Linked DNA regions of Alligator mississippiensis. The protein of the gene in region 1 binds, or shares a complex with, the protein of each later gene. Links are inferred from orthologs where the notes say so. Each region holds a gene or a part of one and is shown in the gene's direction. Other genes may lie near its edges.

The links.
Region 2: the proteins of ESPL1 (region 1) and PTTG1 are in contact, whole or in part, in a cryo-EM structure (PDB 7NJ1), measured with the Homo sapiens proteins. The link is inferred for Alligator mississippiensis from reciprocal best matches to the Homo sapiens genes ESPL1 and PTTG1. Residues at the interface, in NP_036423.4 of Homo sapiens: His402, Thr405, Val406, Tyr409, Ser461, Asn462, Tyr465, Tyr468, Arg505, Arg508, Glu512, Glu544, Thr547, Phe548, Arg551, Gln590, Lys593, Ala594, Val595, Arg596, Thr599, Gly600, Arg603, Gln634, Cys637, Tyr638, Trp683, Ile686, Glu690, Ile697; in NP_001269311.1 of Homo sapiens: Tyr111, Pro112, Glu113, Ile114, Glu115, Lys116, Phe117, Phe118, Pro119, Phe120, Asn121, Pro122, Leu123, Phe125, Glu126, Ser127, Phe128, Asp129, Leu130, Pro131, Glu132, Glu133, His134, Gln135, Ile136, Ala137, His138, Leu139, Pro140, Leu141.

What each region holds. Positions count from the first base shown.
Region 1 is NC_081838.1:9,202,369-9,210,106, reverse strand, and holds the start of ESPL1 (separin), read left to right. Parts: upstream 1-4,705; 5' UTR 4,706-4,761; intron 4,762-5,103; 5' UTR 5,104-5,115; coding exon 5,116-5,196; intron 5,197-5,470; coding exon 5,471-6,586; intron 6,587-7,026; coding exon 7,027-7,131; intron 7,132-7,463; coding exon 7,464-7,575; intron 7,576-7,738. Other genes in the region: MFSD5 (molybdate-anion transporter), read left to right, coding at 1-1,095. UniProt on the Homo sapiens protein: Caspase-like protease, which plays a central role in the chromosome segregation by cleaving the SCC1/RAD21 subunit of the cohesin complex at the onset of anaphase. During most of the cell cycle, it is inactivated by different mechanisms.
Region 2 is NC_081832.1:59,020,853-59,029,024, reverse strand, and holds the start of PTTG1 (securin), read left to right. Parts: upstream 1-4,926; 5' UTR 4,927-5,008; exon of another isoform or gene 5,009-5,072; intron 5,073-5,330; exon of another isoform or gene 5,331-5,589; intron 5,590-7,465; 5' UTR 7,466-7,484; coding exon 7,485-7,566; intron 7,567-7,953; coding exon 7,954-8,129; intron 8,130-8,172. Other genes in the region: pre-mRNA-splicing factor SLU7, read right to left, coding at 730-810, 2,679-2,832, 3,963-4,126. UniProt on the Homo sapiens protein: Regulatory protein, which plays a central role in chromosome stability, in the p53/TP53 pathway, and DNA repair. Probably acts by blocking the action of key proteins.

The sequences.
Region 1 (7,738 bases):
GTCCTGTTTGGGCTGGTCTCCACCTCCCTGGTGGACTGGCTGGGCCGCAAGAAATCCTGCATCCTCTTCTCCCTGACCTACTCCATCTGCTGCCTCACCAAGCTGTCATGGGATTACTTCGTGCTGGTGGTGGGGAGGATCCTGGGCGGCCTGTCCACGGCCCTGCTGTTCTCCGCCTTCGAGGCGTGGTACGTCCACGAGCACTTGGAGCGGCACGACTTCCCTGCTGAGTGGATCCCCGCCACCTTCGCCAGAGCCGCCTTCTGGAACAACGTCATCGCCGTCGGGGCCGGTGTGGCGGCCAACCTCTTTGCCGAGTGGGCGGGGCTGGGCCCGGTGGCGCCCTTCATGGTGTCCATCCCTTTCCTTGCGCTGGTCGGCATCTTCGCCATGAAGAACTGGGAGGAGAACTACGGTAAGAAGCGGGCACTTTCCAAGACCTGCACGGACGGCCTGAAGTGCCTCCTCTCGGACCGGCGCGTCCTGCTGCTGGGCATCATCCAGGCCTTGTTCGAAAGCGTCATCTACATCTTCATCTTCCTCTGGACACCTGTGCTGGACCCCCATGGGCCTCCGCTGGGCATCGTCTTCTCCAGCTTCATGGCTGCCAGCATGGTGGGCTCGTCACTGTACCGCATCGCCACCTCCAAGCGGTACCACCTACAGCCCATGCACATCCTCTCCCTCTCCGTCCTCATGGTCTTCTTCTCCCTCTTCATGCTGACGTTCTCCACCAACCCAGGGCAGGAGAATCCCTCTGAGTCCTTCCTAGCCTTCCTGCTTATCGAGCTCTCCTGTGGGCTCTACTTCCCGGCCATGGGCTTCCTCCGCCGGAAGGTGATCCCCGAAAAGGACCAAGCGGGTGTCCTGAACTGGTTCCGGGTGCCCTTGAACCTGCTGGCCTGCCTGGGCATGCTCATCCTGCACGACAGTGACTACAAGACGGGCACCCGGAACATGTTCACCATCTGCTCCGTCATGATGGTCATGGCACTGCTGGCTGTCGTCAGCCTTTTCACCGTGGTGCGGAACAACGCTGAGCTGCAGGTGCCGCCTTTGCAGGGACACACAGAGCCGTCATCCCCAGAGCTCTGAGCAGGGGTTGCAGCCACCTGGCATGACAGAACAACCCTTGCCAGCTAGCATGGTCCCAGAGGGCAGTGGGATGCCTGTGATCCTCCTGTAGAGGGCAGGGCTCTGTAGGATACTGGGCTGCTGAGGAGAAATGAGCTCTGAGGCCTGGGCTGCAGCATTGGACTCATGTATTCTGACTCTTTTGGGGAACTTGCTGTCCTGACGTGGTGCGGCACCCCTGGGTTCTCCTCTTGCCCCCAGTGCTCCCAATTCTCTCCTTCCCCTCCTCTACCTCTTTTCTCAAGCTGCCAATGTCAGTGGTGCTGGGGAAGGGCCTGCCTGTGGCAGGCAACACACTGGTGGCAGGGCCCAGCCACCTGGTTCCCAGCATTTGCCGGCAGGGGGATTGTCTGTGTATTAAAGTATTGACCCCCTGTCACTGCAGAAGCCAAGGGTCCCCCTCCACTCTGGTTATTATTTTTTAAGAAAAATAAAACTGCTTCCACAGAATGGTTTTTGAGCCCGCGAGGTTTCTTTCTGGGCTCGGGCTGTGGACGGGTCAGGATCCAAGCAAGAAAGAACCAGCCCCACGTTGCTGCGTCTGCAGAGCGTGGGGAGGCAAAGGTGGCAGAGGCTGAGCGGTTCTTGCAGGACACCTTGCAGTGCTGCCCTGGCTTCTCCCCATGCTCAGAGGAGCTGTGGTGCTGGAGGCCATCCCAGGGTGATTGGGCATGCAACTGCTGGAGGGGGCAGGGGCAGGCAGCCCAGTATGGACTGGGGAACCTGGTGTACTCGCAACCTCATGTACGTCTCCTAGAGGCAGGGGCTGTTGGAGAGGCTGAGGCCTGGGACCACCCAGCAGGTCATTGCCCAGAAGTGTGTCTGGTCTCACCCTCCTCCCCCATCCTCTTCCCAGGTTTTCTCCTTCCCTCTTTCCCACTCTTTTCCTTCTGTTTTCCTGGGGAAGCACTGGCTGCCAATCCCTGTCCTGGGTCCTCTCCAGCTGCAGGGGGTGCGTGGGAGTGCTTTCACCAGCTCACAGCTCAGGGGCCTTCCCTGCTCCTCAGTAGGCAGCTGCTGCTGTTGTCCTTGCACGCGCCGCGCTACAATGTGGACTCCATCCAGTTTGCTGCAGCTCAGCAACTCCTTTACTCTTAGGTTAAACCTTGGACTCATGGACCTGGCACATGCCCAGGGCTTCTGTTTGTGGCTGCCTTGGTCTGCTCAGGCTCTACCTCCCCTGGGTCTGGACTCCCAGTCCATTCACAGCCCCCTGGCCTGGACCTTGGCTCCTGCTATGGCAGCTGCAACTGCCTTCATACCAAGCCTCCAGCACAGGATGGTGGTTGTTGGCTGTCAGCTGGAGAGGGCCTCCCCAGGCTTCCAGCCTCCTCCCCAGTACCTCCAACTCAGTTGTCCTTGCTGACAAAATGCTGCCATGTCCCTGCCCCGGTCCTGCTTCCCCCAACCCCCAGATACGTCTCATTAGGGTTAAGCCAACACAGGAGACATTTTGGTGCTTGATCTATATAGTAGCGGCAGTGGGGAAACTCAGAGGGCTTCAAGCATCGAGGTAGTTTTAACAGGAGCCTTAATGGGGCCATGCAATGTCTTATCTGGCCATAAATGTTTAAAATAGGAGAAGCTAGAGCCTTGGTGGGCTCGTCTCCCAGCTCTTTCCCCCGCTTCTGCCTGCACTCCCTGACTGGAAGGGCAAGTTTGACTTCTTGTGCTCCTCTACCTCCCACTCATCTGAGGAGGGAGTTGACAGCTGCAGGGGCTAAGCTGTTGGAGGGTGGCATGTGGCTCAGCCCATCTCTGTCAGTCCCACTGGGTGGAACCGTTTGCAGGATAAAGGCCTGTACAGAAGTGCTGGGACCCTGCTCTGGGAGTGAACCGGCCAGAACCTCCTGCGAGAGGTCTGGAACTGTGCTGATCTTACACCATTCAAGAGCTCAGGAGCTAGGTGTCCAATAAAGTGGTGGGGTTAATTGTTTCCATAATAAACTGAGGCAGTTGTTCTCTTCCGTCGCCTTCTCGGTGTCTTGAGATTTAGGGTCAGGCTCCAGTCCTGACTCCAGGCTTCTGTGTTCGTTTGTAGGTGACGGAAATGTCTGTGTGGATACAGGATCGCTCCGATTCTCCCCACGACAGTTGGAGGAATAAACATTGGGTGTCCCAGGACTCGGGATGCAGCTGTGAAGCCACACAGCACTGGGATCTGACAGCTGTGCACTAACAAGCCCCTCAGCCATGCTGCTAGCACAGGGGTGGCCAGCCTGCAGCTCCAGAGCCACATGTCGTTCTTCAGAAGTCAATATGCGTCTCCTTGAATCTTTGCACAAGCACATGGCGACCAGCTTCAGGAGATGCATATTAACTCAGGAGCTTGTGAAGTTTTAATAAAGACTCGAGCAGTCCCAGATTCCAGGCGACGCCGAGCCCCGAGCCTTCAACAAGTCATCGGGTGCATGCCGAAAAGCAGAGGATCAACTGAAAACTAACCTAGGGTGTGTGCCCTCTCGCAGGGTCAGGCTGGGATCCTGGTTCCTAGATTTTCTGCCTGCAGTGAGTTGGAAATCTTTGCAATAAAAAGAGGTTCCCCTTGATAAAGTGAAGCTGAGAGCAGGTGCTTAGTGGAGGGGGATCAAGTGCTGCGATTGAATCGTGCCGGCAGCCAGGGCCGGGTTCACCAGGACAGACATTTTGCCTGTCCTGGTGCCAAAGGCCTCGAGCACAGGCACGGACTTGACGGGGGTGAACAAAACCAGCCTGGAAATGCCCAAATGCCCGGTGAGGTTTTTTCCCCATTCCCATCTTTTCCCTTGGTGTCAGGCATCCTGTTCCTACGGTTTTGCCCCGATGAAGCCAGACTGAGGGCGAGCAAGGGGGGCCAAGGAGCAGACAAAACAGCCCCCGCAGCCGAGAGCTGGGCCCTTGAAACCACCTGGACAAGAGCAAAGAGGGAGTGAGCAGAAGGGCCCCTGGGGCCCACCCAGGTTGCTCCCCTACATGGTCTGTGCCACACGGCTTGCACACGCACCCAGCTGGGCACGGTTTAGTTTGCTTGGAGCCCTGAGAGGGTTTCGCGTGTGTTGCACAGGCATGCACGCATGCACACACGCCTATTGTTATGCTGGGGGGGGGGGGCAGGCATGTTGGGGATGGCTCAGTGCAAACCGAGCTTTGCACACTCAGGCTTAGACACGCAGGTGCCTTGAGCATGGCCCAGTTTGCACAACACATGCCCTGCTTTGCGCACAGGCTTGCACACGCAGGGGGCTGAGGCACACAGCGCTTTCCACATGCGGGGGGAAAAGGGGCATGCCAGGCATTGCACACATGGGGGCTGGGGGCACACCTAGCATTGCACACATGGGGGCTGGGGGCACACCGAGCACTGCACACATGATTTGCACACACGGGGGCTGGGGGCACACGCGGGTTTGCACGCGCTCTCCCACCCCATCGCTGCCTCTCGCGCCGCCCGAAAACAACGCCTGCTGGGCCCGGGCGGAGCTGCGCGTGCGCAGTTCTCCCCGCGGCTGTGGCGGCAGGACTACAGCGCCCGGCATGCAGCGCGGCGGCGGGAGGGGCGGGGCGGAGGAGGCGCGCGCTGATTGGATGCGGCCCGGATTTGAACGGGGCGCGGGGCCGGGCTGCGGCTAGCGGCGTGTTTGAGCAGCGGTGAGTGTGGGGCAGGGGGCGCGGGCCTAGGGTCAAAGGGCATGGGCCTGAGGGGTTAGGGGCCAATGTCAATGGGCCCGAGGTGTTGCGGGGCCTGGGCGTCCGGGTTCAGGGGGGCTGTGATTAGGGGGTCGGGGAGTATGGGCCTGGAGGTCAGGGGTCAGAGCGCCTGGGGGCTTGTGGGGGCCGGGGTCAAAGGGCAGGGGGCTGGGGGAGTGTGGGGGGCAATGGGGGGTGGGGGTTTAGGGGCCGTGGGCAGCGTCCCCAGGGGCCCTGCTCCTGCGGCGAGTCCTGGGAGGAGGGACCGACCGCGGCTGCATCCCTGACTCCGGTTTGCCCCAGGCCGCGGGCAGCATGAAGCGCCTGAAAGGAGCAGACTTCATGGCGCAGGCCGGCAGCCGGGAGGAGGCCGAGGCGCTGCTGGCGGAGCTGAAGGTGAGGCTGCCCCTGACGTCCCTTCTGCAGGTCGCGGGTCTACCCAGCCCTCCTGCCATCTTGCCCCCTGTGTGGGCACCGGGAACCAGGGCTGTTCTGCAGTCGAGGGCTGTGGGGAGAGCGAGGGGCTCCCCTAGCTCTTCCCTTGCACGTCTTGGGTGACCCTACGGCAGCGGGAGCTGCACAAGTGTTACCCCAGGAAGGGGCTCTGGAGCCTCCGACACGTGGGGGTGGAGAGGCGTGTCCTTGCTCTAACGATCTCGCTTCCTTCCAGGAATGCCTGGCCTGTGCCCCAGAAGACCTAGCCAGCTCGAGCCAGCCCTCCTGGCAGGGCGTTGTGTGCGACAAGGTCCTGCGCGCTTGCATCCACTGGCTGGGGCTCTCGCAGGGCTGCGTGGCGCACTTCCAAAGCCTCCTGGACTTAGCGGAGCTGGCGTGCCAGGGCTACATCGTGGCTTGCCCCCCGCGCACTCCCCTCTACCTTGAGAAGATCCTCTACCACCTGCTGAAGAGCGTGGCTGCCTCGGGCACCTACAGCGCCTGCCTGAGGTTCGCAGGGATCCTTCGCACCCAGCTTGGGCAGTGCCAGCGTCTGGCAGTACCCAATGAAGATTTTGAGGCCATTGCCAAGAGCAGCTTTAGTGTGCTGTGGAAGGGGGCAGACGCCCTTGCCAAGTCTGACCAGGGTCTTGGGGATGCCAGGGTGGTGCTCTCAGGGCGCCTGCAGGCCACGTGCTTCCTGGCACTCTTGGAAGAGGCCGAGTCCCCCTTGCTGCCCCAGGAGCCGCCCTTCTTCACCTCCCAGACGGTGCGCCAGGCTGCGGTGGCCGCTCTAATGTTTGAGGCTCAGAGGACCCCGCTGAGCCCAGAGGATGCCCGCTACCTCAGCGAACAGCTTGCTTGCCACCCGCTCGCAGTCCTGCTGGAGGCCAGGGGTGGGATGGAGCCCTGGCCCCTCCAGTCCTCCCTGTGCCTGTTGGAGCTCACGTTGGAGCGCTGCCGTCGCCTCTGCAGGGGCAGCTGCTTCCAAGAAGCCGAGGATGCCCTGAAGCAAGCTCGGGTCCACCTGAGTGTATCCAGGGGTGCCAAGGAGGGATTTGTTGCTGCACTGGACCTGCTGCGTATTGGAATAGAGCTGAGCCGGGTGCTGGCAGTGGGTCAGGGCCAGACAGGGCCCCTTCTGTCCCAGGCTGCTATGGCTCTGGATACTGCCTCTGAAGCCCAGGACCCCTTGCTCCGGGCACTGGTGGAAAGTTGCCAGTTCATGGTCTCCTCCCTCAGTGGATACGTGAGGAGGAGCGAGCATAGGCCCTTTGGGCTGGAAGATGCCCTGGGTGCCTCAGCCTTCGTGAAGGGCTATTTTCAGCTCCTGCGGCGGTTGCTGGAGAGTGTGAGTGCAGCCTCTAGGGTAGAGCCTGGCCCAAGGCAACAGGACTCTGCTGGCTGGGCTGGGGGCAGTGTCTGGGAATGACTGAGGTTTTGGGGTACAAGAGCATCTCCTGGCATCCAGCTGGGCCTTGCCCCCTGCTGGGCTGGCACAGCAGCATGTAGGCACTGCACGAGGGAACGTGCTGCTGATCGCAGGGGCATTACCTGTGGCAGGGGGAGTGGAGGCATCTCTGCTGGATCCAGGGTTCTGCTGATAAGGGCAGGGGTGAAAAAGAAGGCAGCACAAGTTGGGGAGGGGGGGAGGGGGTCCCTGTAACCCACCTATCACCCCTGTGCTGTAGATCAGACAGGACGCCCCTTTGGCATGGCTTCTGTAGCTGCCAGCCCCTAGTCTGGCCTTGGCTGTGACAGTACTTGGCATGTTCCTTTTTCCCTCGGCAGATGCCTCCTGACAGCCCGAAGCAGCAGCAGACGGTGAAACAACTGCAGTCCCACTGCCTCCAGCTCTATGCCGGCCTGGCATACGATGCCTTTCAGGGCTCCCAGGTACTGGTGGGAGAGGGAGCTCTCCTGGGAACCAGTCATCTCCGTTGCTAATCCAGAGCTATGGGAATCCTGGGCAGCCCTGAACACCCAGGATTCTGGCTGGATGGGTCATGGTGCTTGTCAGCCAGCTTGGGCATACACTGCTCCTGGGTTCACACCCAGACCCAGGGAGCCAGCTTGGGTACCAGGCAGATCAGGTCCTGTTTCTGGATCAGCCATGTAGTCCTGGGAATGGAGCTATGTGCTCCACAGTGGGCTGGGGGCTTGAGGGTCACTGTAACCCCGTTTGCCTCCACTCTGTCTGCTCATTTTATTCATTGTGCCTCCCGCAGGCAGCTGGCCTGGAGAAGCTGGCGGGGCCATGCCGAGACGTCATCACCCGGATGCTACAGCTGTTCGAGGGGCTCCCTGAGCCGGAGCAGGCAGAGTACCTCGATGTGACGGGTCAGTCCTGCCATTGCTGGTCTCATTTGTGTGGCTTTTCTCACATCCAACTACATGCTGCCTGACCTCTCATAGTCCCTCCAGCTCTTCCCATTCTTGTTTTCTAGCCAGTAACAGGGTCCAGAGAGCAGACGGCAAGATGAGATCCTCACAAATGCCCCTG
Region 2 (8,172 bases), on another chromosome or scaffold:
AAACTGGGAAGGAGACTCAGATGCAAGGTACTTTTTACTTAAAGCCCCCTGCCCCCCCCCAAAAAAAACCCCAAACAAACCCCAAAACAAAACAACACAACACAGATTCATAGTTGTAGGGTTGGAAGGGACCTAAGTAGAACTTCAAGTCCGACCCCATGCTGTGGGCAGGAGAGAATACTGGGCTCATATGACCCCAGCTAGGTAACAATCAAGCCTCCTCTTAAAGTCTTCGCATCTGCACATACTCCAACAAATAAGATTTCAAGCTGATGTCACATGAATGGATATTAATGAGTAGTTTTAAAATATTATTATTGATTTTAATAGAACCAGAGCTAAAAAAAAAGCAATACAGCAGAACATGAACTAAAATTAAAAAAGTTACCAAAAAGAACTAAACAAATGACATAGAGGTGGCAGATGAGAGTTGTTTGAGTAAAGTGATCATTTTCTTATCTGTATCTGTTTTCACACACAAGGCTTGAGCTACAAATGTCCTCAGATATACCACACATTGAAATGTCTGTTAGTCTTTTAATGGTCTTCAAACAGCATGTTGAAGAGCTGAATTTCACAAATTCGAGTGAAAGTAAAGCATCAGTTTAATTTTAGTTAAAACTTAAGTTTTAGTTTGACAAATCTAAATCGATACCCTTTCAGTAGATATTTTCCATCATAACAGAACTGAGAGGAATGCTTTCCAGAAAAACTCAGACACCAAGTTACCTCTAGGCAGTCTTTCTTGTTGTGTGTCATTGCACCACAGTTCTCACAGGCCCCTTTGCGATATCTTGTTGCTAAAGCATTCTAAACATGAAAAAGCAAACATTATGTGAATGTAAAGTAGCATGACTGACCCACGATGCCAGTACTTAGCTTTGCCTAATCAAGAAAACAAGCCTAATTAAGTAAATGAAGCACAAGTACATACACCTGTATATACAAGATGAGCTAAAGCATTTACAGCAATTTCCAAATACCACAAACTATTTTGTAGAAGTTTTCCTCCTTCTTCCCTACTTAATCATGAATGTAGAGAAACCATAAAGAAAGATGCAATAGAACATAGGTTCCCAAACTGTGGTATGCATACCCCTGGAGGTACGCAAGACACATCTGGGAGGTATACAGAAGACATTAAGTAGTGGTGGATTTAATTTTCATTATAATAATAATTAATATTTAAGGGCTTAAAATATAAAATGTATACTGCCAGGGGTATGTAGGCAGCTGGTAAATCTGGAAGGGGGGTATGTAATAAGAAAATATTTAGGAACCTCTGCACTAGAAGTGACAGACAAAATTCCATTGAATCCAATGATGTCAGAGTAAGTTCCCAAAATTTTCTTCAGAATACAAACTGAATCCACATTGTTTTGTAGTTATTTAAAGTAATTACCAATAAAAAGGCTAATGGTTTCATTTAAGTTCCTAGAAGGAAGACAGCTATACCACCAAAAACTTACATCCTTGACAGGTTTTTGTAGCGAGACAGAGGATCAAATGGCAATAAATGCTAAGCTATACTGACTGTCTAGAGCAGGCTTGTCCAACATGCAGCCCACAGGCCGCCATTAAACCCACCAAGCCATTTTATTTGGTCCAAGGCGGTGGCGGCCATGCCGCTGTGGAGTGCAGAGCCGCAGTAGCAGAGCCATGGTGAGGCAGGCAGGGCTGGCCCACGGGCCCCAGCTAGCAGCGAGGGGAGGGGAGCAGACTGCCCCACGTGGGAAGCTAAGCAGCGGCCGCTGACACTGCCAGCCTGCGCTTGCCTCCTCACCCGCCCACTTCAAGCCAGCCCCGCTGCCCTGCCATACAGCAAGGCGGTGCCTGCTCCCCCAGCCAGTCTCCCCCTGGGCACTGTGGCTCTCCGGGCCCGGCTGCCCGTGCGCGAGGCCCCGAGGGGGTCGCTTCTCATGTGCTGCTGGGGACGGGAGGAGCCCGGCTGGGTCTGCACTGGCCAGAAGCGGCGGCAGAGCCGTGTGCCACTCGGGATCGGACAGGCCTACACCGGTCAGTCCCGAGCGGCACACGGCTCTGGCGCCGCTTCTGCTGGCCGGTGCGGACCTGGCCAGCCCCCTCCCGTCCCCAGCAGCACATGGGAAGCCGGCTTCAGCTGCATGCTGCTTTTCCTGGCTGGTGCTGACCCGGTTCTGCCCAGGCGGGTCCTGCAGCACCATGTCAACCCAGGCATAGCACTGGCAGGCTGGGCAGGCCCCAAGTCAACCCCAGCCTGGCCTCGTGGCTCCTGCAGCACCAGGTCAACCCGGTTGTAGCCAAGCAGCTCCTGCAGCACCAGGTCAACCCCTGCAACTTCACTGGTGTCAAAGGTCATGTGACATCACTTCCTGATATGATACCACTTCCTGTGATGTCTTTGAATATGGCTTGCCGGCCCACTGGGTGATAAAAAGTTCATGATCCGGACCCACATTCAAAAAGGTTGGACACTCCTGGTCTAGAGAGAGACCCAGAGGTTGAGCTGAAACCTAGCTGGTGCAATAGTTAGTGAAGCAAACTTTACCCAATACTAAAGTTACCCGAAGAGTGACTGGCTACGGTGAAACATGGCTTAAAAGAAACCACCACAATTCTGTCAAGAACACATTCTGCCCTTGGTCACAGGCGTTCCACAAGCCTCACCTTTGCTACACACCAAAAAGGTTTTTACTTACCTCTTGAACCCCTCGTTTATACCAGTCTCCAGATGTGCTAAACTGCTTCTGCTTCTCTGGCTGAGGTCTCTGGTGCTTTAGCGTAGGTCGTTTTGAAGGATCTATGTACCATGGCACTGAGGAGATGTACTGAGGAATATGAGGATTGATATCTCTGAGAAAGATTTTAAAAGAAAATGTTTAGACGTACAAATAATATAAACATGAACAGGAATCTTTTTTTTAAAAGAGCATTTTTTGTATTTAGTATAAATATTTTTGTAACAGGTGGTGTAGATATTGGTCTTCTCAATACACTGAACTGGTCTATACTTACCAAATTAAACAAACCATAATTCTCTTTACTTCGATCCATTTACTTGGGCTGAAATCCAGCCTCCAACCGAGTAACTTGACTTGGTATTATGAACAACATAGGATCTTAGGGAAAGAGTTATACTCCCCCCCTTCAGCAGTGAAAAAACTGAGCATCTCCATCTGGTGAAGGAGATGGAAGTAGAGGAAAGTGAAAGAACAATCTACATTATAACAAATCTTCTATCCGACCCCCCATCCACCACTAAAATGCCACATGGCTCCATTTATTACTGGCATCTCCACTTGCCATATACCAAATAAATGTTAATTCTGTGTAAAAGGAGTCTCTACCCTTGCTGAAGAGGAAGAGGATTTGGGTCTTAAAGAATAACTCACAAAGTTGATAAGTTACACTAAGCCACTGTTAGTGTAATTTTGCATGTTTCTTGAGATTTTCTTTGGCTATCAGCAGGGAGTAGAAATGTAAATATTGTTTTAAAAATTATCTTTTTAACCTCTTCTAATTATAATGGTTAAACAGTTAACCAATAACAGAGCTGCTGCTGGGAGCCACTCCTGGGGCCTTTTGGGTGGGTAATGCAGTGGCAAGCCCAGCCAGATAACACAGCCCAAATGAAGCTCCTAGGTTGGGAGGGAGGGAACAGCACCTGTGAATGAGCAGCTCACTGCTTAGTTGATAAGTCATTAAGCTGCCTGCTGTTTTCCTTTTTAACCTCCTAGGCTAGGGTACTACTCTCCGCCTCACACCTTCCCCTCCTCCTCCCTCCCCTGCAGCCTTCCAGGTCCTGCTGGGTCACTGCGTGGCTTCCTCGCCTCCCTTTCCCTGCCAGATGGGCGCACTAAACAACCAGTAAGCTAACCAGTTGTCACCGGGCTTACCAGTTAATTATTTACCTTTTAACATCCCTAGCAGAAATATTACAATTACATCCCATCGGTAACATTGAAGCCTTAAGTAAAACTTACTTTCCTTCCTCGTCTACTTCGGCTGGTGCATTACCCAGCTTTCTCTGTTCTTCTAGCTCCTTCTTCTTCCTCCAGTCCTCTCTTGTCATCTTCTTTGGCTCTTCCAAGCCCACATCATTCGAACCTCCCGGAGGAGTAGAGGCTATTACAGCCCCAGATGCCATGGTCTTTTCCCTTGCGAACACGTACAGACGTACTGAAAAGGACAATTTCCGGCATTATGAAAACTGAACAAAATCCATTTCAACCCGTTGTTTTACATCACTGCCCTTTACCTTTATCATTTACCTTTATTCACCGCGCTTAGCGCCTTCCAGCTTCCTAGTTACAATTCCCAAGAGAGAATTTTACCCCATGGCCTGGCTGGTCTGGACTGGGGGGAGAGGCTCCCTCTGTAGTGAGGCCTGGCCCCATTTTGGGGATTTCTTGGGGCCCGGCCTGCCCCACTCCTCCATGGGGGCACGATTCCACAAATGCCAACTCCCATGAGAAAAAAAAAATCACGATTTCCAAATGAAATGAACTCGGACTCGTGATCTCCTGATGGAGAGATCAACTCCCGGGACTTTTCCTTCTGACGCGTACAGACAGCGCCGAGGCGGTAGGTCGGGGGGGGGGGGGAGCGGAGGGGACTACGGCGCGGGGGAGAGCGGGGCCGGCACTGGCGTGACCGGGGCCCCAGGGCTGGGACGAGTCACGCAACGCAGCGACGCAACCTACCTGCCGGGCCGTGTTTACCCAACTAGGACTCGGCCTCTCCCACCGTGCACCGCGCGACGGCTCTAGCTCCGCCTTTTAAAGGCGTACGACCCCTGCGAAGGGATGGAGCCTCAGCCTCCTCCCGCAGCACTCGGGGCAGGCCGATGTCTCTGACGAGGTGTCGGCGGCAGGACCCAGCGGGGTGGCGTAACTGCGCATGCGCACACACAACTTCCGGTTGATGGCCGCTTTCGTGCTGGCGGCGACACGCCCCTCCCCTGGCGGAGCGGCCTGGCAGCCAATCGGGAGTCCGAGCGTTGGGGCCCGAGCGAAGCAGCCAATGGGAGGCAAGGTTGATGTTTAAAAGCGTTCCCGCTGATTGTATTGTGTAGAGATTAGTGAGTGTGTGGGGTAGGTTGTTTGTGATCTTGGGTGGGCTTCAACCGCCGCTGCATTGCCCTGGGGTCGGGTCGGGTCGGGTCGGGTCGGGTCGGGTCGGGTCGGGTCGGGTCGGGTCGGGTCGCCCGCGGGGCCGCGCCCAAGCTCGGGCGGACGCGCTGCCCCAGTGCAGGGCACGACGCCCGGTCATGCCTCAGGCTCCGCGGGCTGGGAGCGCGGCGCCTGTCCCGGGGCGACACTCGAGAGAGCTGCAGTGCCGGCGGGGAGGGAAGCGGGTAGCTCAGCGGTCAGGCAGAAGCCCCTAAGGCGGGTGGCAGCCTGCACTGCTCCAGCGCGAGGCTGGAAGCTTTGTCAACCTTTCCACAGCCGAGACCCCCAGCCCTAGTGTGCTGCCAGGCGAGAGGTTCACTGCTGACTAAATCGGACTGCTAAAGTTTAGGGGTGCATTGATAGAGTTTTTGGGGGCTGAAATTTAAGGGGGTATAGTGGTTGATACCAGTCTGATTTCTGATACAGCTGTCTCCAGGTGGTAAGTCCAGTGTGGTGGAAGGAGAGGAGCGTGCAAGGGGCAGATCAGAGCCCTTTGATGAGGGAGGAAGCAGGTGGGGGCAGGGGTGGGGGAGGTGCAGGATGAAGCCACGGCTTGTGGGGTGGGGGTGGCTCCTGCTGCTGCTTGCACTTCTTGAGGGGTGTGCCCCTAGATCTGCACAGTATGGGGCAGGCCACTGCTGTGGTATAGATGGCAGCTGGTATGGGGCAGGTGGCAGCTGGCACTGCATGGGACTCTTCTCAGTAGGGCCCTGGGCTTGGAGCAGGCTCCGGCAGTGCTGGGAAGAAGCTGAAGTCACCCCAAACTTTGCTGTGGCTCTGCTCCCAGCCCTGTGCCACCACCTGGCAGAGCCCTGGCTGAATGCCTCAGTTCCACCCAAGTGCTGGGAAAAGCCATGGTTGGGCTGGGTGGCAGCCCAGGACTGGGAGCAGAGCCATGGCAGGAGCTGCCCCCACCTCTGAGCTGTGCCTCTGTCCCATGTCCCCTTCCCTGCCCTGGCTGGGCCACACCTGCCCCCTCCCTTGCTGAAGGGGGCATTGATCTGTGTGGGCCCCCCCACCCCCAACACCCCTTCCTTCCCACTTCCCTTTCTGACTTGGCAGCTGGAGGCAGCTCTCCACACTGCCAGCTCTGCTCCGTGCTGTGGCTGCATGCAGCATGGGCATATATCAGCCCCATAAGGCTGATATCCAGTAGACAATTTTCTTCATGTTGGTACCAATCCAATATTGGACCAATGTATTGGTGCATCTCTACTAAAATTGAGTCAATTGCTTGTGACTTCCTAACTGAAAGCAGAAGGGACTTTAGCAGTTCAGTGCGTGTAACTAAGCAGCCTAGCTCAGTGGCTGTCAGCTGGGGTTATGCACACCCCTAGGAGTACTTAAAATATTCTAGACCTAGTGTGACTGAAAAATGCCACGTGCACACACAGAGCTGCAGCACAGCACATAGGTGGCCAAGAGAACAGCCAGTTCTGGCTGGTAAATATGTTGTGAGGGAATGGGCTGGGAGAAGGGGCAGATCGAGGCCCCAGTGGTGGGGGTGGGAGAGGAGCTGGGGTGGGATGCTAGACTGAGCTACATGGGAGCAGCTCCCATCTCTGCATGCACCCCAAGAGTGCATGGGGCAGGGGGACATGTGCCCCTGGATCTGTGTAGGTAGGGTGGGATGCTGCTACGGGCTGGGGTCAGGGTTGTGCTGGGCTGTTCTTGGCAGGGGCTGGGCTAGACTGTTCTGGTCAGGTGGTGGCAGTGCTGGGAGGGGCTGCAGCCACCCCAAAACTTGCCATAGCCCCCTTCTGCTGCTGCTGCCACCACCCACCCCCAGCACAGCCTGGTGCCAGTCCCACCCCATGTGCAGATCTGGGGACACGTGCCCTCCCAGGGGTGCACATAGTGGTGGGACCTGGGGTGAAGCATGGGATGGAGCTGCAGCTTCCCCAGGGGGAGGGTGTGGCAGCTCCTGCTACTGCGTGCACCTTGGGAGGGCATGGGGGTGTGTCCCTGGAGCTGCGCAATGTGGGACAGGATGCTGCTGTTGGGCTGTTCCTGGCAGGGCCTATGTTGGGCCATGCTCAGGGCAGGTGCCATCAAGTTGCAATGTATTTATATATAAACCTTTTTGAGTAGTACTCTTAAACAATATGGAGGTAAGAAGACCCAAGTCAACTTTCCAGAAAGATGGTATAACTGTGTAGATGCAATTTTCTTTTTTTTTTTTTTTTTTTGTCATGAGAGTATCTTCCAATGTACTTCTATATTAGCACTTTCATCATGCAGGTCTCAATTGTTGCATTTCTTGAACTGGGAGGAGGTATTATTATATTCTCATGTAGCTTTCTCTTATTTTTAAGTTGTTTCCATGATCTGAACATGGCAACCCTTATATTCATAGACCAGGAGAATGGAGAAGCTGGTGCTACTTCTAAGGATCGACTAAGATTGCCTTCAACTTGTGAGTGTGCACTTTTGCCTTTAAAAATTGAACATTTTAAAATAAACCAGGAATGTGCCTGGCTTGCTATTTCTGGCATGGGAGGTGTGGGAATTCTGAGTAATATAAGCAAACATGTAGACTCTTGTTGGAACCTGTTTTCATTGTTCTTCTGAGACCCTTTTCTCCTTCAAAGGCTTCCAGGGGGCTTTATCTTTTTACAGGCAGCCTTACTCTATTTGTGGGAGTGGAGTGACAAGGAAATAATTCTCCAAGGTTAAAACTTTATCCCTATGTAGAAGTCTTTTTTAACTGTAACTAGTTCCTCCTTCCTAGGCAGAAAGTACTGAAATGGCTCATAGTGGTATTTGCGAAGCATGTAAAGAATCTTAAAACTTTTCTCTGCAGCAGGAAAAGTTCTGTCTGAAAGGTCACAGGTGCAGACTCCCCATGTTAGAAAAACAATTAATGCAACTCCAGTCGCATCTAAGTCTCTCAGAAAGGCTCTAGGAGATGTGAACAGGACTCTGCAATCCACAAAAAAGAAGGAAACTTTAAAAACACAAAAGCAGCTTGTGACTAAGGTAAGTGCATGAGTCCTTAGCAGGAAGTAGATCCTTAAGTATG